7 linked regions of the Ovis aries genome follow. The protein of the gene in region 1 purifies or fractionates together with the protein of each later gene. This does not show direct contact. Links are inferred from orthologs where the notes say so. Each region holds a gene or a part of one and is shown on either strand. Other genes may lie near its edges.

Region 1 (3,535 bases):
GTCATCTTTAAATGAATTTTTTTAATTATTTAAAATTTTGGGGTTTTAAAATACAATAAATATCGGTAGTTGTAATGCACAGAAATAATAGCTGTTTGGACTGCTCCGCTTTCAGAGTGTAGAGAGATGCTGAGCGCACCATTCGTTTGAGAACTGCTGGTTTAGAGTCTTGTTAATGCCAGCAGCCCATCACACCGGCTTTGTTTAGCCCACTTTGTGGATGAGGAGACTGAGGCGGGACGTGTGAGTGCCTGTCCGCGGCACGCGGCTGCTGTGCAATACGGTCCCGACCCTCGGGGTGCTGCTGGTCTGGTGGGTGGCAGGACCAGGAAAGGCCAGGTCACGAGGAGCTTGTTGGGGGCGCCGCCACCGGCACTGGCACAGACTCCCGCTGGCCTTGCTCCACCTTCTCCACGGCGTCGGCTCCACAGGGTAGAGGTTGCTGGCGATGCTTCACTGCTGGACCGTCAGTGTCTGTGACATGGCACCCCCGAAGTAACTTTTTAAAAAACTCTGAGGAGTGTAAAGAAGTGCCAGGCTTAGTGAGTTTTCATTAGGGGACCGTGTCTGTTACCAGCGCCTGCACCTGCACGCTGCCTCCCCAGCACCCTGCAGCCCGGCAGTGAGCCCTGTCTGGGATGGTGCTGGCGCCCTGCCCCGGGGTGGCCGACATCAGTGGTGTGGGCGTATCTACAGCCTGGAAATTAGCCGGCACTGGCTAGCCCTTGCCTTGTCCCTGGCAGGTGGTTAAACATTTGCCAGCGCCGAGCTTGCTCTAGCCACTGCCCTCACTTGAAACATCGAGTCTTTGCCTCATTATCAGCTTGACATAAAAGGGATCATACCGTGTGTCCTCACAGCTCAGGCCCTTCCTTCATCTGTGGTAGTCTATTTTGGTGCAAAAATTCCAGTTTTCTTATATTAATCTGATTAGGTGTAACTCCAGTCAGAAATTCCCAAAAGAATGGGTGGACTGTCTGATTGGATAGACTGATTTTCAGCATCATAAGGACTTGCAGAGGACTGAGCACTTAAGATGAGCATGAAAGAGCTTGAGGATGGTGGCAGCTCATACTTGGGGATGTCACGAGCTACTGTCCAGCTGCAGTCCCAGAGACGCTGCACACAGGGCCTGAGAGAGTCCAGAGGCAGACCCGCCTGTCCACAGGCCCTGGTTTGGGACAAGACGTTGGGCATCAACAGTGTCATTGTTAAAAGCCAGGTGTGGGTGCATATGAGTCCCTTAAGGTACATCATAAACCTTCTGAAAGAAGATAGAATATCTTCTTTACCCTGGGGCAGACATAGGCCACAGAAAACACTTAACAGTGAGATCTGTTCTGCAAGTAAGCCAGCTTTGTACCAGGTATAGTGCTAAGTGTTGCTGGGAGTTTCGCTCAGAGGACCCCCGCCGATGGCCTCCCCTGGGACCCACAGACCTGGGGCAGTCGCTGGAGCCTGCCCTTTCCTGCTCTGCCGTGTGCCTCTGCCCAGGATGGAGTGGCCTCCACTCCGCTCTCCACCCCAGCGCACCCAGACCGGCCGCGCTTTGCTTCTCTAACAGGATGTTTTCTTTTTTCTCCTCCACGATGCCAGCGGATCGTGTAAAGAAGGGGTTTGACTTTCAGTGGCCCCAACCGGATAAACCAATGTTCTTCTATGTGACCCAGGGCCAAGAGGAGATTGCCAGCTCAGGCACCTCCTACCTGAACAGGTAAGCAGAGACTTGTCTGTGGTGCCTGCTGGCCTCAGGGACAGCTCTCCCCGGGACTGCGCGCCTGTGGTCTCGTGTTCTGCGGTGGCGAGCCTTGTCCTGGTTCCCTTGCGCTCATTCTGTTCCCACTCTCAAACCAGCAGCGTGGGTCCAGCCTCATCTTTTCAGTGTCTATTTCCTGTTGAGCAGATCCTTTAGGAGCCCCCGTGTGAGTCTTTTCTGTCCCTCCTGACTCAGCTGGTAAATGGTGGGCTGCCCAGCCACGGGTGTGCCAAGCAGGGCCTCCATAGGGTTGTACTGGAGGCGAGGCTGCCCCGAGCCTTCCACAGCCTCTAGTCCTGGGGGGTGGTCTCAGGAGCCCAGAGATGGAGCCTGGGAAGTGAAAGCCTGACTTTCTTAGGACGGAGGCTGCAAACGTGGAGAAGATCACCACGAAGCTGCTGAAGGCGGGCGCCAAGCCAGACCAGATCGGCATCATCACCCCCTACGAGGGCCAGCGCTCCTATCTGGTGCAGTACATGCAGTTCAGCGGCTCCCTGCACACCAAGCTCTACCAGGTGCGTGCCCGCCTGCTCCGCCGGGCCCCGCCCCAGGCCCTGCCCTCCACCACCTGGCAGCGGGGGGCCCTGCCGGCTTCAGGTCCCAGGCTCATCTGTGGGATTCAGTGGTGCATTTAGATAGACTGTGCGGGCTGAGGGCTCCTTGGAGGAAGCCTGTTGGCTGACCGTGCTTACTGCCCCTGTAGGAGGTGGAGATTGCCAGTGTGGATGCGTTCCAGGGCCGTGAGAAGGACTTCATCATCCTCTCCTGTGTGCGGGCCAATGAGCACCAAGGCATTGGATTTTTGAATGACCCCAGGCGCCTCAACGTGGCCTTGACCAGAGCACGGTAGGGAGAGCTGCATATTGCAGGGGCGGCCCCTCGTGCGTAGGAGGCTTTCCAAAGTGCTGGGAGGGGTTGGCCTGAGAGCTGCTCCCGGCCTGCTTCTCTTCCTGTCAGCTCTCACACCCCAGCCGCGCCTTGGGCTGTGGCACGGGGCGCGGCAGAGGGCTCCCAGCAGCAGTCTGGAGAGGACCTCTCACCCGTGAGTGGTCTTTGTTTCTGTGTCCTGGTGGCTTTCTGTCCAGTTGCCTTGTTCAGCTCTGGAATATAACTTTCGAAATAGTGAGGGACCCAGAGAATCAGGTGGACCCCATGTCACCCCCACATGAAACCAGATAGCAGCCACCCTTGTACCAGCTGCAAGTGGGACTCACATTCACATGTTGGTTCCCTCCCCACTGAGGGCACCTTGCTTTTCATTTGGTAGCCAGCATAGGCGGGGAGCCCCGAAACAGCTGATGAATGTAAGCTTTCCCCCAGAAGCTTGGCTTGGGCATCAAGTGCCCAGCCCATCAGAATGCCTGAGGCAGCTGTGGAGTCTGCCCCTGCCACGTGTGACTTAGTTGCCCAGGAGGCTGACTCAGGTCTGCAAATGAGGAGACTCGTCTCTGAGTTCATTTTCCCACAGAGATGTTTTGACATCTGGGCTCAACAGAAACCTGCCCTCAAACCCATGTGCAGGGTTGGCAGCTGACAGGATGGGCTCCAGTGAAAGTCACCCCAGTTTGCAGTTACCCAACCATCCCCAGCATTCCCAGAGGGCGCTGCATAGGCAGGCCAGGCGTCTAGGCAGGGAGGTTGAGGGTGGCTCTCAATGCTCCTGTGGGCTGAGAAGACAGGGGCATGGTGGGCAGGGTGCCAGGGGAGCTGCCTGGGCACCTTGTACTTTCAGTTCAGTCTCTCAGTCATGTCCGACTTTTTGCGACCCCATGGACTGCA
Region 2 (3,535 bases), on another chromosome or scaffold:
AAGGGACAAGTTTGCCCAAGCTGCTCAGAGATGCTGAGTCCAGGAGTCCTGGCAACCCTCCAGGGCACGATTTCAAGAGCCAGGGGTCAGCTTCCCAGTAAGTCCAGCTGCCCTCTTGGCCAGTTCAGTTTCTACTCTGCCTGTAAAATCTTGTTCAAAATTCAGTTTCTGCAGGAAACATTCCCTGATCGTCCTCACTTGCTGTCTTTTCTCACTTGGTGCCTTTCTCAGAACATGGGTGCAGGAATCCATTCTCATGTGCAATTCTGGACTTATGGATACACATTCAACATCTGAGAGCTGGAGAGGTCTCTAAGAATTATCTTCCAGACTTCCCTGGTGGTCTAGTGGTGAAGAATCCACCTTCCAATGCAGGGGACTTGGGTTCGATCCCCAGTGGGGGGAACGAGGATCTCACATGTTGCAGGGCAACTAAGCCTGCACGCTGCAACAAGAAAAGCCTGCACACTGCAATGAAGATCCAGTGCAGCCAAAAAAACCCCAAACAGATAAACAAAAAAGAACACGAATCATCTAGTTCAGCTCCATGCTTTTCAGGTGAGTGAACTAAGGCCCAGAGATAGCGAAAGACTTGCCCAAGGTTACAGAGCCAAGTGATAGCCAAGTCTGGGCTAAAACCCCCGTCTTCCCTATTACCCTGCTCTGACGCCTCTTTCGGGGGCCTAGATGCCTATTCTGCTACTTGCTGAGCCCTCTGGGACAGGAACAGCGTCATTATCCTTTTGTTCTGCCCACAGTCTGTGGGTTGGCTAACTTCAGTCCATCCTCCCTACTACCAACCCAAGCCCTGACCTCCAAGGTGAGCAGACGGGGGTTCCGGTCTATGGGGTCCCAGGTCATGGGCACTGACTCCAGGTCATAGTGCCGGATGTCGTGCTCCATCTGCAGCTCCTCCAGGTGCAGCAGCAGCCGGAGCTTCACCTCATAGTTCCTCCACTTCAGGGCTGTCTGAAGCTGGGCCCTGGCAGTGATGGGTGGGGAGATGGGAGGGGAGGGATAGGAACAGGATGGGTCAGGCAAACCCCATGTCCCGGAGCACCTCTCCCCCTGCAGCCCTGAGACTATGAAAACGTCAGGAATCAGGGAAGACTAGAAGAGCAGAGAAGCAGATGGGGGTCAGAGGCCTCTAAGAAGAGAGTCCCTGCCCGCCAACCTCAGACCTGCATTGTGGATCCTGGAGCCGGAAACACCCTCTCTCAAAGATCCTCCCATGACTCATACCCTCACCCCATTCAAATGTCATTCTCTGCTCAAATGTCACCTCCTCGAAGAGGCCAGGACTGGCTGTCCTCTGCAGAACAGCACAGCCCACCCCTTACCCTGCTTTAACGTTGGTTAGTTCTTCATAGTCCTCATCACTACATAAGATGAGAAATGCTCACTTTCCCCAGCTACAATGTCAGGGCCTTCATGTGAGTGATTCACCTTGAATGCAGCCTGACACATGGTGTGTTGGCCAGTCAGGGGATGAATGAACTGAGCATGGGAGGCTGAGGACAGAGGCATGGGGTAGAAATAGGAAGTGAACAAAGAAGAAACATATAAAGCAGTGTGAAGGGTGCAGACGGATGGTACTTACTTGATCTCAGCAATCTCCTTCGGGGCAGTGAAAATACTTGTTCCCCGAAGAAGGATGGGGAGCAGCTGTCTGAGGCGGAGGGGTGGGTAGTATGTTCCCAGTGGCAAACTGAACTCCAGGTCATAGTTCTTAGCACTGCAGGAGGGGGGACAAGAAAAGCTATTACAAACACAGAGACCCTTCACCTTCAGAGACTCTGAGAAGGCCCTTCCCTGGGCTAGGCACAAAGCCCTGCTTCGATACTACTGCTGAAAGGGGTCAGTAGCCTTTGCCCTAGAAGAGAGGACTCACTGTCTCACGAGGCTGCTCATGCCAAGGCTGGACCATTTTCATTTTTAGAAAGCATGATACTTGAAAGCATTAAAAGAAAACAAAACAAAACAAAAATATATATATATATACTATATGGAATTCCCTGGCAGTCCAGTGGTTAGGACCCCATACTTCCATGGCAGAGGGGGTCTGTCTTTGATTCCTGGTTGGGGAACTAGGATCTCACAAGCTGTGAGGTTATCTATATATATATATACATATATAAACAATATATGTTCATTAGAGAAAAAAAAATCAGAAACTAGGTAATTAATAAATAAATGGGTAAATAAACAACATGCTTACCATCCAGGGATAACCATTGTTAACTTTTTGATATGTAACCTTCCAGACATTTTTCTTTGTCAATATGTATTATACAAATATATTTTAAATTAATTAGCCAATTAACTAATTAACTTCTTGGCTGCCCTGCATGGTTTGTGGGATCTTAGTTGCCTATGAGGGATAGAATTTGTGCCCCCTGCAGTGAAAGCTTGAAGTTCTAACCACTGGACCCGCAAGGAATTCCCCTATACATATATTTGTAGCAGAAAGAGCACAGTGGTCTCACAGTTTGCTTTTATAGCTCAGTATTTTGTGAACACCTGGACATATTAAAAAGAGATGTCTACACCTATGATTCCATTCACATGACATGTCCAGAAGAGGGAAATCGAAAGAAGTACATGAGTGGTTGGTGAGGGCTAGGAGGCGAGGGGGCCGGGGCACAAAACGGGTGATAACTAAAGGGTATGGGCTCCTTTTGGGGGTGATGAAATGTTCCAAAATGGATTGTGATGATGGTAGGGCCTAACTGTGAATATGCTAAGGAAATCACAGATTGTACACTTTAAAGGAATGAACTGTATAGTATGAAGTTGTTTCCATAAAGCTGTTATGACGGAGAGGGGGAGAGGAAGAGAGAGAAACACGACCACCCCAGCTGTCTGATAATGCATCATACAGTCAAAAATACTTGAAACTTCCACACTGTCCTCATATCCGCTTTTCTTCTTAGAAAAGGTCTCTGAGGTCTGGAGGAGTTAAGAACTCACCATCAGGAAAGGGGCCCATATGGTGATGTGGGGAGGGACCCCCGAGCCTGAACTGGGCTGGACGGAGGACTTACCGGTCGGGTCTCTCTCCTTCCTCTATCCGGCTGGTCACCACAGGGTTGCGAGCGACCTGGGTCCGCTTGAAGGGAGTCGTGGGTTTCAGCTGTGCTGCCAGGGGACTGTGGGCCACGGCGGCTAAGAAGCGGGCGATGTAGAAAGTGCCAGCTCCTTCTGAGCCTGGCTCTCCAGGGCCCAGCAGCTCCCAGAGCACTGTGGCTGGGAAGTAGCCCACAAAGCTGGTCTTGCAGTGAACATGGAGCTCATAGCATTCACCTAGGAGAAGACAGCTAAGTGAGTCGGGTTGGGGAGGGAGCTGCCCAGGAGCATCCCAACCCTGACATCCCCCAGATAGCCCCTACCCAAGGCAAGCCCCACCAGCCTGCAACAGCACATTCCTGAAGCAACAGACCCTCCTAGGGCAGGCCTCCGGCCACCAGAGGCTCTTTGAGAGCCCACTCACCTGGGCCCAGGAGGCAGGGCAGCTCCCGGTCTCCATTGCAGAAGG
Region 3 (4,023 bases), on another chromosome or scaffold:
GCCAGTGAATCTGGGACGAGGTGCTGAGGCAAGGAATACTTTATTCTGAGAGCCTGCTGACTGAGAAGGCGGCAGACTGTCTCAAAACAACCATGTCATTCGGGTCGGGATGCCAGATTCTCTCATAGGTCAGAGATGGGGGAGGTGAGGGAACCGTAAAAAGGCCGGTAATCTTGCAAATATCTCCTAGGATTGCAAGCCTCAGGCAGGGTATATGCTAATTTCTTCCTGCCTTCTACTGGTGGACAGGGTTCTGAACAAAAGGCACTTTAGAGTCTGGCAGAGAAGCAGGGTTCTCTGAGGCAGGGTTTATGTATGATTGTCAAAACAGTTCCAGCATGGAGTGAGAATTGGCTTTTCCCTAAAACATGGACTGTAGCCCGCCAGTCTCCTCTGCCCCTGGGATTTCCCAGGCCTGGAATACTGGAGTGGGTTGCCGTTTCCTTCTCCAGGAGATCTTCCCAACCCTGGGATTGAACCCAAGTCTCTTTTATCTTCTTTATTTGCACGCAAGTATCACCACCTAATGCCTGGAGACTGGCCAAAGGCCCAGCCCAGTGAGGGGGGGTAGGGAAGGGAAGGGGTATGTGTGTGTGAAGAACGTGACACAGGCTCACGGGTTGTGTGTGTGTGTGTAAACAACGTGACATAGGCTCAGGGGTCTGAGCATCTGACGCCGGCAGCGAGTTTTCGGGGCGCGAAGCCTGCAGCCCGAGGCTGCCTCCTCTTCCGGGTTCCGGGTTCCCGCCAGCGCGGACAAAGTCCCTGGCGTGCCGACCAATCGGAGAGCGCCCCAAACCTGGGCTCGGCCAATCGGAGGCGCGCGCTTTGCCCCCTCGGCGCGCCCGAGTCGCCGGCCGCCGAATCTCCCGCCAATACGCCTACCCTCCCCCCCCCCGCCCCGCCCGCGAAGGCGCGGCCAATCAGCGTCGAGCGGCCCGGCGGCCCGGCCGCCTCCATGGCGGAGGGGACACGCTTCTCTGAGGGCCTCGCCTCAGTCTCCCCGGCGGAGCCCCTTGGCCGCCCGGATGGCAGCGCGCGGGGCAGCGGGTTCGCGGCGGCCGCCCCGGCCTGGGCCGCCTGCGCGGCGCGCGCTGCGGCGGGGCGCCCCCTGGGCCGCGGCCCGATGGTCTCGCCGGCGCGGCGCGCGCGGGAGCCTGGGGGGCGGGGCGGCGCCCTATAAGCGCGGCTGGGGGCGGGGCGCGCGCGTCAGTCGGCGCCGCGCGGAGAGGAGCTCGCGCCCGCCGCCCGCGCCGCCGGCCCCGGGAGCCCCGCTCGCCGCCTCGCCATGGCCTACAGGCCGCGAAGCCCCGCCGGCGGCCAGGACCGTCGCGACCACGACGCCAGGTGAGGTCGGGCCGCGCGCCGGGTGCTCCCGGGCGGGCGCGCGGCGGGCGGGGGGTCCGGGCGGGGGTCCCGGGCGGGGGGTCCCGGGCCGGCTCGCTCTGACGCGGTCTCTCGTCGCCAGCCCTCCGCCCCCCGCGCGCTGGAGCCTCGGACGCAAGCGCACGGCCGACGGGAGGCGCCGGAAGCCCGAAGACGCCGAGGGCCTCGCAAGGCCGCCCAGCGGCCGCAGACCCGACAGGTGGGCCCGTTGCGGCGGCTGGGGGGGGGGGGGGGGCCTGGGCGGAGGTTCCCCGCACCTGGCTGACCGGCCGGGCTCGGGGCGCCCCTGGGTCCCCACCCCTGACGAGTCCCGGCCCCTGTGCGTCACAGCAGGACCGGGAGGCCCCTGAGGATCCGAGGAGGCGTCTCAGTGACGGGTGTCAACAAAACTGGGCTCAGTCTCAGGCAGCGGGCCCTGCTAGGTGCCAGGGGTGGCCTGGAGGGCCGCCAGAAACTTCACAGAGCGTCCCAACAGGGCGAGTCAGGCTCCCCCGAGAGAGTCAGGAAAGTTGGGTGTTGCAGCAGTCACAGAAGGTGGGCGCCAGGAGGCAAACCAAGACTTAGGCTCCAGGACCCTGCGTCCACCCTGAGGCTCCTGAGGCGCTTTCCCCTCTGAGGAGCCTTGGCCATTCTCATGCAGCTTGCGGTTTACTCGAGTGTTTTCTAGGCGGGGCAGCGTGCTGGGGAGGTCAAGACACTGCCAACCATGGTTTTTTTTTTTTGTTCTGCTTATACTCTGACACAGGTGGGTCAGCAAGTCAGACGAGGTATTTCAGGGAAACGAGTGGCTGAAGAGTACACGCAGGGGGTGTCCGGTGGTGAAGGCCGGCGTGCTCTTCAGATCCGTGGTCTGGCAAGGCCTCCGTTGGGATGAGCTGGGAGGTGGTCCCTTGAGGATCCACACACCAGGGCCCTCAGGTGGGGATGCATTTAGCTAGTGTGAGGACTGGCTAGAGGAGGACAAGGGTGGGGCCAGCTGCCATGTCAGGCGAAAGGGGCGGTGAAGACTGCCCAGTGGAGATGGTATGAGGAGCGTGTAGCTTCGGGTAGGCTTCCAAGGCAGGACTCTCAGTACTTGCTGATGGGTTGAGGGGCTGGTGCCGGGAGGAGTCAAAGACGACCCTAGCTTTGAGACCTGGAGACCTTGGTCTCTTATGAAACCTTGTTACCGGGATGAAGAGGATGGTGTGGACCAGACCTGGTCTGCGGAAGGAATTAGGCTTTAAGTTTTTCAGATGAGTAAAGAAAAGATATTGAGAAAGCAGCATCTAACAGTCTGGGTTGGGAGGCACAAACTGAGTTATCAGCACACACGTGACTTTTAAAGTTGTGAGAGATCTGGGAAGGATCTTGGGGCAAGATGTGAGAGGAGGAGAGGCTCTAACAGCCCTGGGGCTAGATGTGAGGAATAGGTTATTGTTTACTTGCTAAGTGGAGTTCAGCTCTTTGTGACCCCTTGGATTGCGGCACTCCAGGCTTCCCCATCCTTCACCATCTTCTGGAGTTTGCTCAAACTGATGTCCATTGAGTTAGTGATGTCATCCAACCATCTCATCCTCTGTTGCCCCTTTCTCCTCCTGCCTTCGATGTTTCTCAGTGTTGGAGTCTTCCAATAAGTTGGCTCTTCACATCAGGTGGCTAAAGTATTGGAGCTTCAGCATCAGTCCTTGAAATGAATATTCAGGTTTGATTTTCTTGTTGTCCAAGGGACTCTCAAGAGTCTTCTCCAGCACCACAATTTGAAAGCATCAGTTCTTTGGTACTCAGCCTTCTTTATGGTTCAACTCTAACATCCATGCATAATTACTGGAAAAACCACAGCTTTGACCGTAAGGATCTTTGTTGGCAAAGGGATATCTCTGAGTTTTAATACAATGTCTAGGTTTGTCGTAGCTTTCCTTCCCAGGAGTTATTGTCTATATTAATTTCATGGCTGCAGTCACCATCCTCAGTGATTTTGGAACCCAAGAAAATTGTTTCCCCATCTATTTGCCATAAAGTGTTGGGACCGGATGCCATGATCTTAGTTTTTTGAATGTTGAGTTTCAAGCCAGCTTTTTGACTCCTCTTTCATCCTCATCAAGAGGCTCTTTAGTTCCTCTTCACTTTTTGCCATTTAAGTGGTATCATCTGCATATCTGAGGTTATTGATGTTTCCCTGGCAGTTGATTCCAGCTTGTGATTCATCCAGCCCGGCATTTCGCATGATGTACTGTGCATATAAGTTAAATAAGCAGAGTGATGATACACAGCTTTACTGTACTCCTTTCCCAGTTTGGAACCAGTCCATTGTTCCATATCCGGTTCTAACTGTTGCTTCTTGATCTGCATACAGGTTTCTCAGGAGGCAGGTAAGGTGGTCTGGTATTCCCATCTCTTAAGAATTTTCCACACAAAGTCTTTCAGGTAGTCAATGAAGCAGAAGTAGATGTTTTTCTGGAACTCCATTGCTTTCTCCGTGAGCCAGTCAGTGTTGACAGTTTGATCTTTGGTTCCTCTGCCTTTTCTAAATCTAGCTTATACGTCTGGAAGTTCTTGATTCACATACTTTTGAGGCTTAGCTTGAAGGATTTGAGCATTACCTTGCCAGCAGGTGCAGTGAGCACAGTTGTGCAGTACTTTGAACATTCTTTGGCA
Region 4 (4,298 bases), on another chromosome or scaffold:
AAAGGAGTGGGAACTCTCAATTGACAGAAGCAGAGAAGGAATAATAAACAGTAATTAATGCAAAAGAAGGCAAGGAGGATAAACAGGATTATAGGAAGGACAAAAAGCACCTTGGAAGAAAAGTTATGACCAACCTAGATAGCATATTGAAAAGCAGAGACATTACTTTGCCAACAAAGGTCCGTTTAGTCAAGGCTATGGTTTTTCCAGCGGTCATGTATGGATGCGAGAGTTGGACTGTGAAGAAAGCTGAGCGCCGAAGAATTGATGCTTTTGAACTGTGGTGTTGGAAAAGACTCTTGAGAGTCCCTTGGACTGCAAGGAGATCCAACCAGTCCATTCTAAAGGAGATCAGCCCTGGGTGTTCTTTTGGAAGGAATGATGCTAAAGCTGAAACTCCAGTACTTTGGCCACCTCATGCGAAGAGTTGACTCATTGGGAAAGACTCTGATGCTGGGAGGGATTGGGGGCAGGAGGAGAAGGGGACGACAGAGGATGAGATGGCTGGATGGTATCACCGATTCGATGGACGTGAGTCTGAGTGAACTCCGGGAGATGGTGATAGACAGGGAGGCCTGTGCTGCGATTCATGGGGTCACAAAGGGTTGGACACGACTGAGCGACTGAACTGAACTGAACTGAATATGAATTGATGTAAATGCAACCACAGTATATCCATATACTTGGCTGTGAAACTTTGCATAAAGGTGGAATCCGCCAGAGAGGTTGTAGAATGAGGAAAGGAGAGGAAACGACAAAAAATGGCAGCGGTCTGGTCCTTCTCTCCTGTCGCTTCCCTTGCCCTCCTTTTCTGAGCTCTCTTTCCAAAGGCTGTCTCAGTTTCCCTTCTAGTCCCTCACCATCAGTACTTTCCCTGAGTCAATCAACATACATACTCATATCCGTTTCTTCTGCTTCAGCCTCTGTGAACCACATCCAGACATGTAGTGTTCACAGTCACCCAAAATCCCTTCCTACATGATTTCGGTTGCCTTTTCCATTTCACTCGCTGATGGCAAAAACAGCTTTTAAAGGCTGCATATTTTGAGGGAGAGAAAAGTAGGATTACGGTAGTTACATTTACTGAAGAAATTTAAAACAGAAAAACTGTCCCAGGAGAAAAAAATTAAAAAAGCACCGCTAGCAGAGGATGGTTTCGATCCATCGACCTCTGGGTTATGGGCCCAGCACGCTTCCGCTGCGCCACTCTGCTGTTGCCGTTTTCACCCCCCAAGAATCATAGAAAGGTCTCTAGATGCCAGCCACACTAATTTCTTTACACAGCGCTCTCTAGTGTCTGCAAAAGGGCGTTAACGTCTAACCTGTTCTTATTGGCTAGTTACTGACAGAGCAGGCCCTTTTCATTGGCTCAATAAACCGGTTTGCCAAAGCAAACCAATAGGCACAAGCAGCGGAGTACGGCGGGAGCCAATCGCGCTGGAGTTTGTTGGGACACGCCGGCAAGCTGCCTCTCCAGTTGTCGGCTCCCCAGAGGAAAGGGGCGGTTGGTGTGGCCTCCATTGTTCGGGATCTAGGACGCCATGAGGTAAGGGTTGTGGGGTGCCCTGGAGAGGTTTCAGGTATTCGACCGAAAACTTTAGGAAGTTGGTCCGAAAGGAGTCGGCGGACTGGAAAGGGCCATGTACCTGGGGGTTGCACGGAAACCTGAGAACTCCGGCTCTAAGAGAAGGGGAGGTCGGGGGCAGTGGAGGCGGGGAAACTTGGCCGGGGATGGGGGGTGGGGCCCAGGAGTCGAGAGGCGGTTCCGACTGTTCGCTCTCTGGGGGGTTCAGATGAGAGGGTGTCCTCAGGTTCCAGGAGGAGCACCCCCACACCTCCTATTTAGACTGAGATGGCTGGAACGTGTCTCATTCATCCTCAATGCCAGTTGCTTGACATACACGATACGCCTGATAGATGCTTTTACTACATGAACGAATGAATAAGCAGTCACATTAGTCTGCGAAGTATTAGGGTTGGCGGGACCCGGCGATTATGGGATGTTTCTTGTAGGGCTCTCTTTAATGTGGTTTGATGTGAATCAGTTATCCAGTCATGGGGAGTGAGGCTGGACATTTGGAAGGTGTAGAAGTGTAAGTGAGAATGGGATCCTTTGGCTTCCAAAGGGAAGTGCAGAGCGATAGAGGTAGGCTAACCTGAAATCATACGGCCGGTACCGAGGAGATTGCTTCAATGAGATGAAAAGAAAGTTAAAATATGTTAATAATGCATTTCTAGGGGTGACAGAGGCCGCGGTCGTGGCGGGCGCTTTGGTTCCAGAGGAGGCCCAGGAGGAGGGTGAGTGCCAGTCCTTAGCATCTGTGCCCGTTGGTTTCCCTTTCAGTCATCTAAATAGGAGTGGAGTATCTTACCTGCCTTGTTGAGATCCAGCTGTAGTTTAGAAGTATTCTTCTCATGCTCTCTTGATAAATGAGTTTGGCCCCATTATGTGAAGTCAGTTTGATTTATGTGGTGAGTAATCTGGATTGTTTTTCCGCTTTTTAGGTTCAGGCCCTTTGTGCCACATATTCCATTTGACTTCTATTTGGTGAGTACGGTGTCTCTTCCCTGGTGGCTAAGAGGTTAAAGTGTCTGCCTCTAATGCGGGAGACCTAGGTTCGATCCCTGGGTGGGGAAGATCCCCTGGAGAAGGAAATGGCAACCCACTCCAGTATTCTTGCCTGGAGAATCCCATGGACGGAGGAGCCTGGTGGGCTACAGTCCATGGGGTCGCAAAGAGTCAGACACGACTGAGCGACTTAACTAACTTAACTTTGGCCACTATTCAATTGTTGTTTCTTGGAACCTGGTGTCTCCCTGTTAATGAAGTCATGTGGTAGTTGGAGTAGAAAAAGGGAAGTTTTGAGTCATCTGTGTTGCTTTACATACAAAAAAGTATAACCTGGGTGGGGAAGATAGGTCCTTCATTACAATCGACAGTAACATGATTATAATCTTTGTTCTGAACAGTTAATTGTATCACTGCCTTGTCTGTTAATATTAGGGTCACAAGAGTATAAGTGTTGTAGAATTATCTCTTTTTTTGTGTTGTGGCAACAGAAAAATCTGTTGCATATTATTTTTGGCAAGTAGTATATAGTATATTTCTTGTTTAGTGTGAAATGGCTTTTCCCCGGGTCAAGCCAGCACCTGATGAAACTTCCTTCAGTGAGGCCTTGCTGAAGAGGAATCAGGACCTTGCTCCTAATTCTGCTGAACAGGTATATTCTGTTGGTTTTCTTCCTGAGATTTCATGAAGGAAGCTAGAGAAGTAAATAGCTACTTGGTGAGATTACTGTTGTCAGAGCCTGAACTCCACAGGTTTAATCATTCTTATTTTTCATTGTGTGTAAAGGGAGAGCATCAAGTGAATGTATAAACAGATTACATGTGCGTTCATATTATTATTGGGGAATCTGTCGTTGGGATCAAAGTTTTCTCTTCTGGCATATTCAAGGCTGGGAGGGTCTGGGTGCTTTCAGAATCCGGTATAGGTGTTGATTCCTATTGAAGGAATTGGGGAAATAGTCAAACTTGATGAAAAGTTGCTTGGTATTTCACCTGAGGGTATTTTTGTTTCCTGCTATTTTTCAGGCCTCTATCCTTTCCCTGGTGACAAAAATAAACAATGTGATTGACAATTTGATTGTGGCTCCAGGGACATTTGAAGTGGTGAGTTTTTGAAGATCTAGTCCTAGGAAAGGGAAGTCATGGAAGTGTGAAAGTTTCCTTGGTTCCTGTCGCTTGATTCTTCAGATGCTTATTTAAAGCCACTCTTGGAATGGGAAAGTACAGTAGAATTCCTTTGTCGTGCTGGTCTTAGGGACCAGATTCATCATTGCTATCAGCTAGCTGTAATGAATCAGGCTTTTCATTGCTCATTTTGGAATATGATTTGAACTCTGCTACTTCCAAATCTGGGTAATAAGCTTCTCACTTGTAAGTTTTGTTTTTTCTTTCTTAAATCCCTTTTCCAACAGCAAATTGAAGAAGTCCGACAAGTCGGATCATATAAAAAGGGAACGATGACTACAGGACACAACGTGGCTGACCTGGTAGTGATCCTAAAGATTTTGCCAACATGTAAGTGTGCCTCTCTTTGGCCACAGCAGCAGAACATAGCAGTTGGATTTGAGGCATAGGGATTTAAATGGTGTGCTGTATGTGAAAGAATGTATGACCAGTTACTGCAGGACGGACTTTGCTCCCCAGGGGACATTCAGCAATGTCTGGAGATGTTTGAGGCTAACGTCTTCTGGTAGAGGCCAAGGTTGCTGCTAAGCATCCTGCAGTGGACA
Region 5 (4,253 bases), on another chromosome or scaffold:
GACATGACTGAGCGACTGAACTGAACTGAACTGAGCCCCTTCTCCAGGCAAGGAGGAGGGCAAGTGTCTGGCTGTCCACTTACTGATGACCTGTGAGCAATTAGAATCTATATAACTGACTACCTTACAGGGTTGGCTTTCTAGACAAATGTAGTTGTGAGCCACGCTTAGGTGAAAGAAATGCTATCCTTTTGAAGATTTACCAGGCTATTGGTCTGATGGGTCTTCAGGAGAAAACAGACTTAATTTACTGGTCTCAGTGAGTGGTGCTGATGCAAGTTATTTTATTTCATCCTATTTAGAATCCCTGTACTGGGCTGTGCTGTGCTAAGTCACTTTAGTCTTGCCTGACTCTGCGACTCCCGACTCTGAGACTCCACAGACCATAGCCCACCAGGCCCCTCTGTCCATGGGATTCTCCAGGCAAGAATACTGAAGTGGGTTGCCGTACCCTCCTCCAGGGGATCTTTCCGACCCAGGGATTGAACTCGTGTCTCTTATGTTTCCTGCATTGGCAGGCAGGTTCTTTACCACTAGCGCTACCTGGGAAGCCTGCATGAAGAATTATCACCTCCAATTCCCTGAGGTTGAAACTAAGTCTGTTGCGAATGCTATAAAGCATGCAGGGCCAAGGGTGAGGGAGAGGGTAGCACCTGGGGAGAGGGACAAGCGAAATACTCCTGACGCCTAGATAAAACCACATATCCTTCCATCTGTTCATCACTGAACCCTTAGGACAGCTCCTGGCTCATTTCACTGTGTGAGTAAATGTACGCGAAAATCTTTGTATTGTGTCCATTTGTCCTCCCTGACAAAACATACCCGCTTGGCAAGATTTAAATGTGTTCTTAGACGGCTTCTTGCTTTTTCCAAAAGAAATACCAGGGAAATCAGCTCGCTTAAGAAAGAATGGAAACAGCACCTGCAGCACTGTTTGGGGGTGTAGATGATGGTTGGTGCTGAACTAGCACTCACGAAGTGACAGTAATGTAGAATACAGGGGCTACTAGTAACAGTACGAAAAGAGACTCTTTCCTCTGTCCAAATAGTGTTTTCTCCTCTTGATCCTCCTGGTCAATCGCATACCAAAGAAGAGAGATTTCAGCAGCTTTGAATTGGAAGGAAACTCAGAGGCCCACTTCACAATTATTTATAACCCTGGAAAACAGTAAGTGAGATGAGCACAAGAGTTTTGCTGAAAAGTCGAACGCTATGCAACCTGAGATTTTATTATTTGACAAGAGCAGCCTTGCCAATAGTAAAAATGGCAACTTGACTCCTTCCTTCCCTTCGTGTTAACCTAATGGTTGCCAGTAGCCAACATGGAGGCCAGACCGTGAGTTCCCGTTGGCGGCTGTTCTGAGGCCCCGCCCCTATGAGCGACGGCTGGAAATTGCGGAGACGGAAAGCGTGACTCCGAGTGGGGCTGCGCCTGCGCGAGTTATTGGCGCCAAGATGGCGTTGGAGATGAGGCTTCCCGTCGCTCGGAAGCCTCTTAGCGAGAGCCTGGGCCGCGAGAGTAAAAAGCACCTAGTGGTGCCAGGGGACACGATCACCACGGACACAGGCTTCATGCGGTACGTGGGGTTGTGGGGACACTGGGCGGCAGGGGCGGCTGCATTGCTCTCTTTCCGCATCAAACCTGGGCCTGTGTTCTGCATCTAAGTGCTCGCGGTACCCGGGGCGCATCTGGGAGCATCTCAGTTGCCTCGTTTTCGAGGCTTCGGACTTCCTACTTCCTGCTTCTTGTATGTCCCCGTCTGTAGCTGCCTCAGCTCCCCCGAAACCTTCCTGTCCCGATCACTGGTAGCTGTGACTCGTGGGTCCTGTGCCTCAGGCCCCGATTCTGAGGCCTTCCTCGTTGAACCTGCAGCTAGGGCCTCCTCACAGGTTTCGGCGGAAGGGATGGTGGGCGTTTTTGACTTCTTCCACTTAGCCCTCAGCATTCCGTCTCCTAGCCAGGGGCACGGTTTTGGAACGAGCCATTGCTTGGGCTTAAAGAAAGTGAAGTCGCTCAGTCGTGTCCGACTCTTTGCGACCGCATGGACTGTAGCCTACCGGGCTCCTCCGTCAATGGTATTTTCCAGGCAAGAATACTGGAGTGGGTTGCCATTTTGGGCTTAGGGGGCATGCAAATATATTATGTTACATGCACCAGAATAGGTAACTTTGAGTCTGAGGGCAGGCTCCAGCTTAAGGGCAGCTGGGGTTCCGGTCCTGCTGCCGTCACAATATTAGCTGTATCACCTCTCCGAGGTCAGTTTCCTCGTCTGTAAAATAACTATTCCAGAGAATGGTGAGGATTCCATGAAAGTGAAAGTGTGGAAGAGTTAGTCCCTCAGTCATGTCCGACCCTTTACCACCCGGTGAACTGTAGCCCGCTAGATTCCTCTGTCCATAGAATTCTCCAGGCTAGAATACTGGAGTGGGTTGCATTCCCTTCTCCAGGGATCTTCACCACCCAGGGATCCAACCCAGGTCTCTGGCATTGCAGGCAGGTTCTTTACTGTCTGAGCCACCAGGGAAGGATTACATGAGGGGTAATGATTATGAAAAAAAGTAAGACTCACCATTCTATCACCATCACAGTGGTCAACACTACTCATACCTCAGGCAGCCTCTGCCCTCCCCCCATATGCATATGAGAGAGGTACAGCGTTTATTCCATTGCCCTTTAACCTCTTAGTTTGGGATTATTGGTTCCCAGGAAATCTTAAGATTCAGTCCTTTATTCATGCAGTCCATAAATATTATTTGTGGTTGGGGTATAAACTGAACAAAGAGGAAATCTCTGTCCTGGTGGACTTTATGTTCTGAGACAGACAGATGAGAAATAAGCACAACAAACAAGTTATTTAGAATATTTGCTGGTAAATGCAGTAGAAAAGAATAAAGAAGTGAGGCAGGGTAAGTGGAGCATAAGTTGGAAATATGGTGGGGATGGCAGCCGCAGGGCGGGTGACTATTACAAATGGGAGAGTTGAGGAAGGCCTGGTGGAAAAATGCCATTTGAGTCGACTTGAGTACAGTGCAAGAGATGGCCACGTAGGACTCTAAAGAAGGAGTGTTTAGGCAGAGGTGGCAGCCAGCAGAAAAGCCTGTCTTTGAGGCAGGAGGAATCAGATTTGAGGAACACATTGTTCTGGCTGCTAGAGGTCACCTCAAATATTACCCTGGTATCCTTTGTATCTTCCTGTTGCAACAGGGGCCATGGAACCTACATGGGGGAAGAGAAGCTCATTGCATCTGTGGCTGGCTCTGTGGAGAGAGTAAACAAGTTGATCTGTGTAAAAGCTTTGAAAACCAGGTGAGAGCAAAAGGTGTGTATTTTGTGGCATCTGAGTTGCACAGCCAGGTCTTTTCTGCCATGACACACCCCCTACCCCCAGCCCTGCCTGCCCTGTCGTTCTGTAGGGCTGGGATTTCGGGAACATGACTGGAGGAAGGGTAGAGATGACTGTAGGTAAGGGTAGGCTTCAAAGGTTTCCCTACGATATCTGACCTCTTCAAACTTGGGTTCCCTCTCCTGCAAAATGAGACCTTGCCTGACCTCCTGGGTAGGATTTTCCTTGGAATTCACCGAAATAGTGTGTATAAAGTACTTTACACAGAGAGCCGTCTGCCTTGAGGGCTCAGTAAAGGTTAGCCCCAGAACATGAGCCAGTGGGGTTGGAACAGAGTGAGCAGGCGAGTAGTAGGAGCAGATGCAGAGAGGTGAGGTAGGCAGTCTGCATGCCCTGCAGCCACGATAAACGTTTCTGACTTCCACTCTGTGCGGTCTAGGAAGGCCCTGGAGCAGAAGGACCTGATCCGCCGCCCTCTGTTTTAATGGAGTCACTCTGGCTGCTGTTGGGGGCGGGGGTGGGGCAGGGTTAGGGAGCCAGATTCCTGCTCTGTTCTCATCATCTCGGTTGGTGGTGGCTTGGACTAAGGTGATAGCCATAGAAGTGGGGAATAGTGATCAGTTCTGCGTGTATTTCGTGTTCTGCGTGTATTTACTGTGAAAAGCTGTAGGATTTTGTATGTGGGCTTTTCTACACGTAGGACTATGTCTGTGAGAAGAGATCGTTTTATTTCTTCCTTTGGGGTGCTTTTTATTTTCTGCCTACATTGGTAAGGTAGAGGTCTTAGAATCTGCTGCTGGACCTGTCCTGGAGCAGGAGAGAGAGGGGAGGAGGGAGATACACACGGTTCCTCCAAAGACTCCAAGGACTGTGGCTTGAGCAACCGGAGGGGTGGAGTTGCTATTTCCT
Region 6 (4,098 bases), on another chromosome or scaffold:
AACAGTTAGAACTGGACATGGAACAATAGCATACTCCTTGGAAGGAAAGTTATGACCAACTTGGATAGCATATTCAAAAGCAGAGACATTACTTTGCCAACAAAAGTCCATCTAGTCAAGGCTATGGTTTTTCCAGTAGTCATGTATGGATGTGAGAGTTGGACTGTGAAGAAAGCTGAGCGCTGAAGAATTGATGCTTTTGAACTGTGGTGTTGGAGAAGACGCTTGAGAGTCCCTTGGACTGCAAGAAGATCCAACCAGTCCATCCTAAAGGAGATCAGTCCTGGGTGTTCATTGGAAGGACTGATGCTAAAGCTGAAACTCCAATACTTTGGCCACCTCATGCGAAGAATTGACTCATTGGAAAGACCCTGATGCTGGGAGAGATTGGGGGCAGGAGGAGAAGGGGAAGACAGAGGATGAGATAGCTGGATGGCATCACCGACTCGATGGACATGAGTTTAAGTAAACTCCAGGAGTTGGTAATGGACAGGGAGGCCTGACGTGCTGCCATTCATGGGATCGCAGAGTCAGACACGACTGAGCGACTGAACTGAAGGAAGAACAGATTAGGCCAGGAGAGTGAAACAAAAGTTCCATTTCAGAGATGTGAAAATTTCATATGGCTAAGGACCAGGCAGTTAGATACGCAGCCATAGCGCTCACCAGAGATGTCAGAGCGAGGGATATTCAAATACACGTATGGAGGTACACGATAAGTATTGAAAACGTTACTAAAGCAATCACTCGTTCTTTCCTAAACCACAAGTCAGAGGATCGAGAGATCAGATGACGGCCAGAGAGTAACCCTGGAGTAGCTGGCTCACGCTTCGGAGGGTCCTTCTGTCCCCGGGTCGCTGGAGCCGCCTCGCACCCCGGCCTCACCCCGCGCTCCGGGCTTGGCCTAATCTCTCCGCCCAGCTTTCCCCAGCCGGCAAAGGCCGGGAAGTGGGAGAAAGATGAGCACGTACCCGCCCGTCCTGATCCTTTCTCAGATCTCTCTTCACCGAGCAGTCTCCGCCTAGCAATTGCCACCGCTCGCAGCCCTCGCACTCCCAGCCCCCTTCTGTATTTAGGAAGGAACGCCGTACCGCACCTCGCTCCGGAAGTTAGGCCGTTGGCGAAAGGGCCGCCGGGAAAACCCCGCGGAGGCCCCGAGAGAGGGGCTGAAGTGGAGGTGAGGACTAGAGGGTCCCTCCTAGACGACCCGCCTCCGGGCGTGGCTCGCGGCCTGCGGGGTTCGGCCTGGCGGAAGAGGCGGTGCTCTCCGCGTGGCCCCGGAAGGGCTTTCAGCGAAGGCGGGCGAAGGAAGCAGCCAAGAGGGGGAGGTAACCCGAGAGGGTCGCTGCGTGCTGGACTGAAGCCACCGGCCTGGTGAGCTTCCAGAGCCGGCTCTCCTGGATCCGAGCTCGCGGAGCCATCCAGCCATCCTGCCTTGTGCTTCCGGGAGCCGCCGCGACCGACAGCGCCTGCGCGCCGGCCACTCCGCGCGCATCGCCGCTGTCCTCCCGCCAGCCGGCGGCCTGACGGTTCCTGCCGCGCTTCGTGACCGGTGTCTCAGCTCCGCGGAGCACCAGCGTGCGGCATGTCGCGGCGGCGGCACAGCGACGAGAACGATGGTGAGTGCCCTAAGCCCGGCCGCCGAGGCCGCGCTCAGGTGGGCGGAGGTTTGGCTTCCCTGGTGTTCGGGTCTCGAGAGAAGGGACGGGAAGCCCTTCCTCTAGGAGCGTTCAGGGAGCCGCGTAGAGAAGGGGGTGGCACGGCGGGAGTGCGGCCGGGCAACTTTGGGAAAGCCCCTGCTTCCCCCGGTCCCAGTTCCTCAGTCGTTGGCCACGGGGAGGCCTGGTGGACCCCGGTCCCTAGGAACTCTTCAAAATTTGGCTCTTAGCATCGCCGAGCAGGGAATTACACCTGTGTCTGTGCCTCCGCTTCTTAGGGACCTATTCAACCCAGTGTCTCGTTTTGACCCTCAAATTGCACTTAAAAAGGACTCTCAAAAGATGAGAGATCTGCTGAGTCCCGATCTGAGCTTTCTCCTGTTCCCGTCATCCGTCGTCTTGCCTTCTTCCAAGCGATAGGGAAAGAAATCGGTCTTATCCACACCCAAGAGGTCTCTTAAGAAAGAGATGTACGTAGATTGTTGTGTTACATTTTGAGCTGAGTGTAAGCATAGTTCCCTCGTGTAATAGAGTGTTGGAAGACTAACTGGAGAGCTCCTAGAGATTTCGATCAACCATTTGGATGGTTGAGCTCATGGGGATCATGGAGTTGCCATGTAATAAAAACCAAGAATAATTTTGCTAGCTAAAAATAGAAAAGATATTTATCTTGCAAAAATCAGTCAAGAAACAGAAACACATCCAACAAACAGAAAACCTAACAGTTATTGTTACTAATAGTTTAGGGTATTGTTCTTCGAGAAGAGTGTAGTTTGGTGGTTAAGAGGCCAGACTTTGGAATCAGAGGACTTTTCAAAGCCAGACCCTGCTGTTTACTTTGTGATCTTGCCTGGGTTATATTACCTCTTTAAACCTTACTCTCTAACTTAGAAATAATGATACGAACCTTTTGGTTTTGTGAGAGGTAACACATGTAACTAATTGCTCGTGAAGATGTGTATTTTATCACCTGATAATGCTTAAGAGCTGATAATCATTGGCAGATGGTGACTCTAATAAAAAGTACAGAACAAAAAAAATTGAATTAATTTTCTCCACTGACATTTTTCTCTCCTTGAATGTTGGGGTAACTTAGGGGTAGGAGCAGAATCCCACTAATTTAAGGTTTTTTGTTTGGTTTGTTGGTTTGGGTTTTGTTGCTGTCTCTTTTTTTGGCCGTGGTATAAGGATCTTAGTTAGGGTTAGGGATTGAACCTGTGCCCCCTGCAGAGGAAGCACTCAGTCTTAATCACTGGACCACCAGGGATGTCCCCCACTTAGTTTTAATAGTGTATCAGATTTCTCCTAGAGCTTGGCTTGGGAGGATATTCTACCCCAGCCTGCTCACCTCACACCTGAGGTCTACAGTTTTAGTGTAATTAACATGGAGACAGCATTAGCAGTGCCCAGATACCAGTGAAAGCAAGTTGAGAGTTACATTACACAGGTATTCCTATGCTGTATCTTTGATTTTTATTAAACACAACATAATGTACATACAGGGCACAGAAAATAGTTTTCGTGTGCTTTGTATCTGATTTGTTAATTTAATCTCCTGGAAGTCATCGCTTGGGATTTGGAGAACTTGGGTCTTTTAAAGTTCTTCCCATTGTCTTTGTTCTTCTCATGCTTTCTCTACTCTTTCATCATCTCCTTTCTAGGGTATCCCTAAAGGGAGAGAAAATCTTTCCAAGGGGCATCCTGGAGAATTGGATGTAAATTTGTAGAAAAACAACTTTTGCTTTGGTTATTGGGATGCTGGTATAACGTTCTTAGGAGTTAGCTTCTGGCAGCTAAATCACTGTTCATTTGGTGCAGAAATCTCAGAATAAATAAAGACAAAACAAAATAAGGAGTTAATTAAGCAGCGTTTACTATAAATAATTTAGTAGTTGAAGGGCAGTTTATAACCCCTCTTAGATACTACACCAAGTCTGGAGCTTTCGTAAATTGCCACAATTTGGGTAATCATCAGCTAGGGTTTATTCTAAATGGTGATCTGAGTCACATATTTTAGGTAACTTTCTTTTGGTTAAATGCCTACTAAATTTTTTTTTAAACCAGAAATTTTGAAAACTTAAGTATTATAGAAGGCTGTTTTAAAATAGGCCAAATTTTTGTTGTGTTAAATAGATGCATCTAAGCATTTCTGGATTATTGTCAGCTCTTACCAGTCCCTAACTGCCATGACTCTCTGTGTGCTTGACTAGACACAGTAATTTATTCAACAAATATTTAACAGTGCCAGGCACAGTTCTAACTCCTGGCAGTACAGCAGTCGACGATAAAAGGTGCAGTCTCACTTTTACAGGCAGAGAACAATCAAGTAAATACAGTGTATCATATGGTGTTAAGTATGGTGGAGAAAAATAAAACCAGTTAAAGAGGGTAGGGCTCTTGTCAGGGAGGAGTTGCTGTTTTGTATTGGTTTGTCAGTGAA
Region 7 (4,153 bases), on another chromosome or scaffold:
GAGTGGGTTGCCATTTCCTTCTCCAATGCATGAAAATGAAAAGTGAACATTACTATGCTCACTTTAAAGATAAGAAACCTGAGGTCCAAAAAGTTTAATCAGTTCACCTTTGGTCACAGTGAATCACTGTCACACGAGGGATTATTTTAACACAAATCTCCAGTGACATTCCCCCCACCCACCACCCCAGCACCCACTCTTCATTCTATTATCAATACTTTTTCGGGGAGAAAAGTAGTAACGGCAAGATTGGGAATGAGATTCAGGGACGACGCCAGGAGTCGGACACTACTGAGCAACTTCACTTTCATGCATTGGAGAAGGAAATGGCAAGCAGCCTGAAGACAGAATAGTGCTATAGTCGCGCGTGCTCAGTCGCGTCTGACTCTTTCGCAGGCCCTCAAAATGATGCCATTTCAGCACTGTCTCTAGAAACAAATCCGTTTTCCATTTGGCTGGAACTTAGACGAGCTAAAGCAGGTTTCTAATAAGAGTTTAGTTGCCCTTGGCCTAATCAAGGAGGAAAAAATTTTCCACAGCCGAGAAAACATTCGCAGTCAACCACTTAGGCCTGAAAACACACGAGCTTCCTGGACAGTAGTTCACAGTCCTGATTCAAACTGCGGAGAAAAAGTAAACACCAACACACAGGTTCACTGTGGATGATTTTGGCTTTATTGGTTTGGAACCAGTATTTTTTAGGTGCTCCGTCCGAGGCGATTCAATTGCGCGGATGGAGTGGGAGATCAAACATTCAAAACTTAACTCTTACTCACAACAACTCATCTAGAGACCAGTGAGGCAAAAAGGGGAAAAAGTGAGGTAGAAAGAGATAAAATGGAGAATAAGTGCGGGAGAGTTAGTTGCAAAAAAAAAAAAAAAAAAATGGCAAGGTCCACTGTGGATTTAGGGAAAGCGTCGCTGAGAAGTTTCTTGAACTGATTTTTAAACAGCAGAGTTCAGTCGGAGCCAACGTTAGAGACGCGCCGCGCCGCGCTGCGTTCTCCCAAGAGGTCGGATCCTTTAACCCTGTTTTACTGATGGGACGACCTAGGTTCAGAGACGGTGAAGGGCCTATTTCGACTCACACTGTTGGGTATCCTAATTGAAACTGGAGCCTGGGCCTCAAGCCCAATGGGGATACTGACGAACAGCCCTCACCCTCTCCCAGTCGCAGGCCGAGGGGGCGGAGCTGAACAGACTTCGCCTCCGGGGGAAAGGGGCTTTATTCCGGCGGGAAGGGAAAAGTCGCCTGGTCCCATCTCCGGAAGTGGGAGGAGAGAGGGAGTCGCTCCGCGACGCACGATGACGTTTCCTAACGTCACTTCCTCGCGCCGCAGTAAACGTCAGTGTTGGGCGCCTTTAGCGGCGGTGCGGATTGCTCTTAAAAGTTTGGTCTTGTCTCCGTTTTGCGAGCCATGGAGAGTGACTTTTACCTGCGTTACTACGTGGGGCACAAAGGCAAATTCGGCCACGAATTCCTGGAATTTGAGTTCCGGCCCGACGGTGAGAGAAGCCTCCCGGCTCCCCGGGAGCGAGGACTATGCCTGGGGGCGGGAGAGTGGGGGGGCCGGGGATCCGTAATGTACGAAAAACTAGAGGAAGGGACCAAGGGTGTGAGGCGCCGATTTGGAAGGAACGATCCTTGTCCGCCCCACTGATTCTTCCTGTCCGTGTGCTGGGGCTTCTGTTTAGTGACGATTTTGACCATATTGCTTTATTCAACGAACCTTTCTTGAGCACCTATCTGTGCCAGTCTCACTTCCACAATCTGGGGTGTAGGAGTGAACGATAAACAAGCTTCCTCTCTCGTGGAGCTTGTATTCTTTTACTGGGAGGTCGTAAACAAAAAAATATCCCAGATAGTGTTGAGTGATCAGAAAATAAAATGATGGAACAATTGCTGATGGGCCGCTTTAAGGAAGGATAGCTATTGGAGAACTCGCTGAAGAGCCGGTGTTCGAGCTGAGCTCTGATTGACAAAGAAGGAGCCAGCTCGGGAAAAGAACATTCTAGGCAGAGATGAGCTAGGCATGTTTCAGGTGGCCATTGTGGCTGAAGAGCAGTGAAAACTCCGGGGAGAATAGTAGGAGATGATGTCAATTAGGTAGGCAGGGGCCACCTCATACAGTCTTGGTGAGTTTGGATTTTTTTTTCTAAGTGCAGCAGGAAGCAATTGGGAAGTTTTAAGCAGAGGTGTAATCTATTTTTGAGAAAGTATTGTAATTATTAGGTGCAGAATAGGCAAGAATGAAAACTACTTAACAGGAGATGGTTACAGTTGTTAAGAGAAAAAGGATGTTGGTTAGAACTATAACAGGAGATGGTTACAATTGTTAAGAGAAAAAGGATGTTGGTTAGAACTAGAGTGATAGTAAAAGTAGAGAAGGATTTAGGATACAGTTGGAGGCAGAACCAATAGGACTTTGCCAATTGATAGGATTTGGTGAGGGACCAATATGGTGAAGGAAAAGGAGTGAAAGATGGCAGAAAGCTTCCACTAAATGAAGGCATAAAAAATGAGCTTCTTGTAGTTCAGTTGCTAAGACTCTTTGGGACCCCATGAATGAACTGACAAGCCCAAATTGTGGAGAAAGTTATGTTAACAATGATAAGACAGTGTATAAGGTGTTGTAGAAAGAAACAGAAAAGACTCTGGGAGTGGAAAGAAGGCACCTAACCCATACATCGTTTACGGGTGAACTGTATTTTGGTTAACTCCAGCTCTGTGTGAGAGTCCTGTTGTAGGAATGAGGCTGGAAATGAGCTCAGCTTAGCCGGAAGCCACATTGAGGATTTTGGACTTTATCAAGAAGGTAGTGGGGAGCCGTTGTCAGTATTAAAATGTCAATATTAGAGTGACCCAATTGGATCCATCTGTTACTGTTTCACTCTGTCCACTCTACGGAGAATGAACTGAATGGAGAGAGACTTGAGGCAGAGACACAGTGCAGTAAGGCATCAGTTGTTTTCACTCTTTTTAGTGTGCCTTCTATAGGGAAAAAATTATCTCCTTTATTTCCTTTTATCTTCTTCATATCCACCATATATACCCAAATCAGCCTGTTTGATGAACAATGTTACAGAGGGCCTTGTATACCAAAAATGCTCAATAATAAAACCACAGCTTTTCTATCATGTTTAGAAAAGGAATAGATCAGTGTTTCACAGTCATATGTAAATATATGTAAAAACCATTTTATAGTTTTCAGAAACTTTCACAATTCTTTTGAGCCTCTGAAGGCCCTGTGTGTAGGTAGGTTATCAATCACTCCTATTTTCAGCTGAGGACATTAGCCAGCTGAGATACAATTTGCCAGTCACAAGAGTCTGTTCTTTTATCACACCTGAGCTGTCTTTTGCAAGAATTGTAAATCATTGTCAGCTGTAGTTTTGGCTAGAAGGTTATTTAATAGTGTTCACTGGGGAAAAAAAATAAATAACTTAAAGTTTGAGAATTGTTTTATTTAGTGGAAACACTGGGGACATAAGCCTGGGAGACAGGCTCTCAGATAGCTTTGAGGGACTATTCTGAAGAGGTGAGGGATGAGCCAGGATATATAGGAGGTTTTAGAGGGGAAAAAAAACCCAAAACAAACAAAAAACAGGTAGAACATCTAAAGGTTACTGTTAATAAAATACCAGACATCTAAAGTTAATGAAGTTAGCATTTTTCTTTGTATGGGAGGATGCTGGGCTCTTTGAAATCATTCCTTTGATATTCACCTTAACTGTCCAGGACCAGCATCCTGTTTTCAACATCCTGAATCCCCTCAGAGTGCACCCTTGGGGAAGGGGCTGGGGGTGGTGTGGCTGCAGTGGCTGATGGCTTAATGGCTTCAACAGCCTTTGTTTACTGACAAGGCAGGTGGCATTTTTTTGTTCACCAAAGCCTAAAGTGAAAAACTGAAAAGACTAGTGTTGCTGAAACACCAGAGGGGTAAATACTAAAACTATTAGACACTTTGAAGGGTAAGTTAGGATACATTTTAAGCAATAGCTGATAGTCTTGGTAGGCTAATGACGCTTTCTTTATGTTTTTATTATATATTGAATTTGTTTTTTGTCCCTCACAGGGAAATTGAGATATGCCAACAACAGCAATTACAAAAATGATGTCATGATCAGAAAAGAGGTAATGAATCTTCTGAGG

The links.
Region 2: the proteins of UPF1 (region 1) and MOV10 purify together in Homo sapiens (affinity purification with mass spectrometry; 3 studies listed by BioGRID and IntAct, with this or other methods). This does not show direct contact. The link is inferred for Ovis aries from reciprocal best matches to the Homo sapiens genes UPF1 and MOV10.
Region 3: the proteins of UPF1 (region 1) and SLBP purify together in Homo sapiens (affinity purification with western blotting; 4 studies listed by BioGRID and IntAct, with this or other methods). This does not show direct contact. The link is inferred for Ovis aries from reciprocal best matches to the Homo sapiens genes UPF1 and SLBP.
Region 4: the proteins of UPF1 (region 1) and ILF2 purify together in Homo sapiens (affinity purification with mass spectrometry; 3 studies listed by BioGRID and IntAct, counting the BioPlex papers as one, with this or other methods). This does not show direct contact. The link is inferred for Ovis aries from reciprocal best matches to the Homo sapiens genes UPF1 and ILF2.
Region 5: the proteins of UPF1 (region 1) and EXOSC2 purify together in Homo sapiens (affinity purification with western blotting; 3 studies listed by BioGRID and IntAct, with this or other methods). This does not show direct contact. The link is inferred for Ovis aries from reciprocal best matches to the Homo sapiens genes UPF1 and EXOSC2.
Region 6: the proteins of UPF1 (region 1) and NCBP1 purify together in Homo sapiens (co-immunoprecipitation; 3 studies listed by BioGRID and IntAct, with this or other methods). This does not show direct contact. The link is inferred for Ovis aries from reciprocal best matches to the Homo sapiens genes UPF1 and NCBP1.
Region 7: the proteins of UPF1 (region 1) and MAGOH purify together in Homo sapiens (affinity purification with western blotting; 3 studies listed by BioGRID and IntAct, with this or other methods). This does not show direct contact. The link is inferred for Ovis aries from reciprocal best matches to the Homo sapiens genes UPF1 and MAGOH.

The regions. Positions count from the first base shown.
Region 1 is NC_056058.1:4,158,465-4,161,999, reverse strand, and holds part of UPF1 (regulator of nonsense transcripts 1), read left to right. Parts: intron 1-1,596; coding exon 1,597-1,714; intron 1,715-2,114; coding exon 2,115-2,271; intron 2,272-2,459; coding exon 2,460-2,602; intron 2,603-3,535. UniProt on the Homo sapiens protein: RNA-dependent helicase required for nonsense-mediated decay (NMD) of aberrant mRNAs containing premature stop codons and modulates the expression level of normal mRNAs.
Region 2 is NC_056054.1:90,086,469-90,090,003, reverse strand, and holds part of MOV10 (helicase MOV-10), read right to left. Parts: coding exon 3,491-3,535; intron 3,304-3,490; coding exon 3,045-3,303; intron 1,736-3,044; coding exon 1,601-1,735; intron 983-1,600; coding exon 814-982; intron 1-813.
Region 3 is NC_056059.1:117,526,865-117,530,887, forward strand, and holds the start of SLBP (histone RNA hairpin-binding protein), read left to right. Parts: upstream 1-1,208; 5' UTR 1,209-1,288; coding exon 1,289-1,347; intron 1,348-1,468; coding exon 1,469-1,585; intron 1,586-4,023. UniProt on the Homo sapiens protein: RNA-binding protein involved in the histone pre-mRNA processing.
Region 4 is NC_056054.1:104,112,166-104,116,463, reverse strand, and holds the start of ILF2 (interleukin enhancer-binding factor 2), read left to right. Parts: upstream 1-1,490; 5' UTR 1,491-1,541; coding exon 1,542-1,546; intron 1,547-2,238; coding exon 2,239-2,298; intron 2,299-2,505; coding exon 2,506-2,548; intron 2,549-3,116; coding exon 3,117-3,221; intron 3,222-3,594; coding exon 3,595-3,672; intron 3,673-3,980; coding exon 3,981-4,083; intron 4,084-4,298. UniProt on the Homo sapiens protein: Chromatin-interacting protein that forms a stable heterodimer with interleukin enhancer-binding factor 3/ILF3 and plays a role in several biological processes including transcription, innate immunity or cell growth.
Region 5 is NC_056056.1:5,933,740-5,937,992, reverse strand, and holds the start of EXOSC2 (exosome complex component RRP4), read left to right. Parts: upstream 1-1,438; 5' UTR 1,439-1,455; coding exon 1,456-1,577; intron 1,578-3,205; coding exon 3,206-3,307; intron 3,308-4,253. UniProt on the Homo sapiens protein: Non-catalytic component of the RNA exosome complex which has 3'->5' exoribonuclease activity and participates in a multitude of cellular RNA processing and degradation events.
Region 6 is NC_056055.1:50,020,816-50,024,913, reverse strand, and holds the start of NCBP1 (nuclear cap-binding protein subunit 1), read left to right. Parts: upstream 1-1,279; 5' UTR 1,280-1,585; coding exon 1,586-1,619; intron 1,620-4,098. UniProt on the Homo sapiens protein: Component of the cap-binding complex (CBC), which binds cotranscriptionally to the 5'-cap of pre-mRNAs and is involved in various processes such as pre-mRNA splicing, translation regulation, nonsense-mediated mRNA decay, RNA-mediated gene silencing (RNAi) by microRNAs (miRNAs) and mRNA export.
Region 7 is NC_056054.1:27,774,299-27,778,451, reverse strand, and holds the start of MAGOH (protein mago nashi homolog), read left to right. Parts: upstream 1-1,348; 5' UTR 1,349-1,418; coding exon 1,419-1,506; intron 1,507-4,076; coding exon 4,077-4,135; intron 4,136-4,153. UniProt on the Homo sapiens protein: Required for pre-mRNA splicing as component of the spliceosome. Plays a redundant role with MAGOHB as core component of the exon junction complex (EJC) and in the nonsense-mediated decay (NMD) pathway.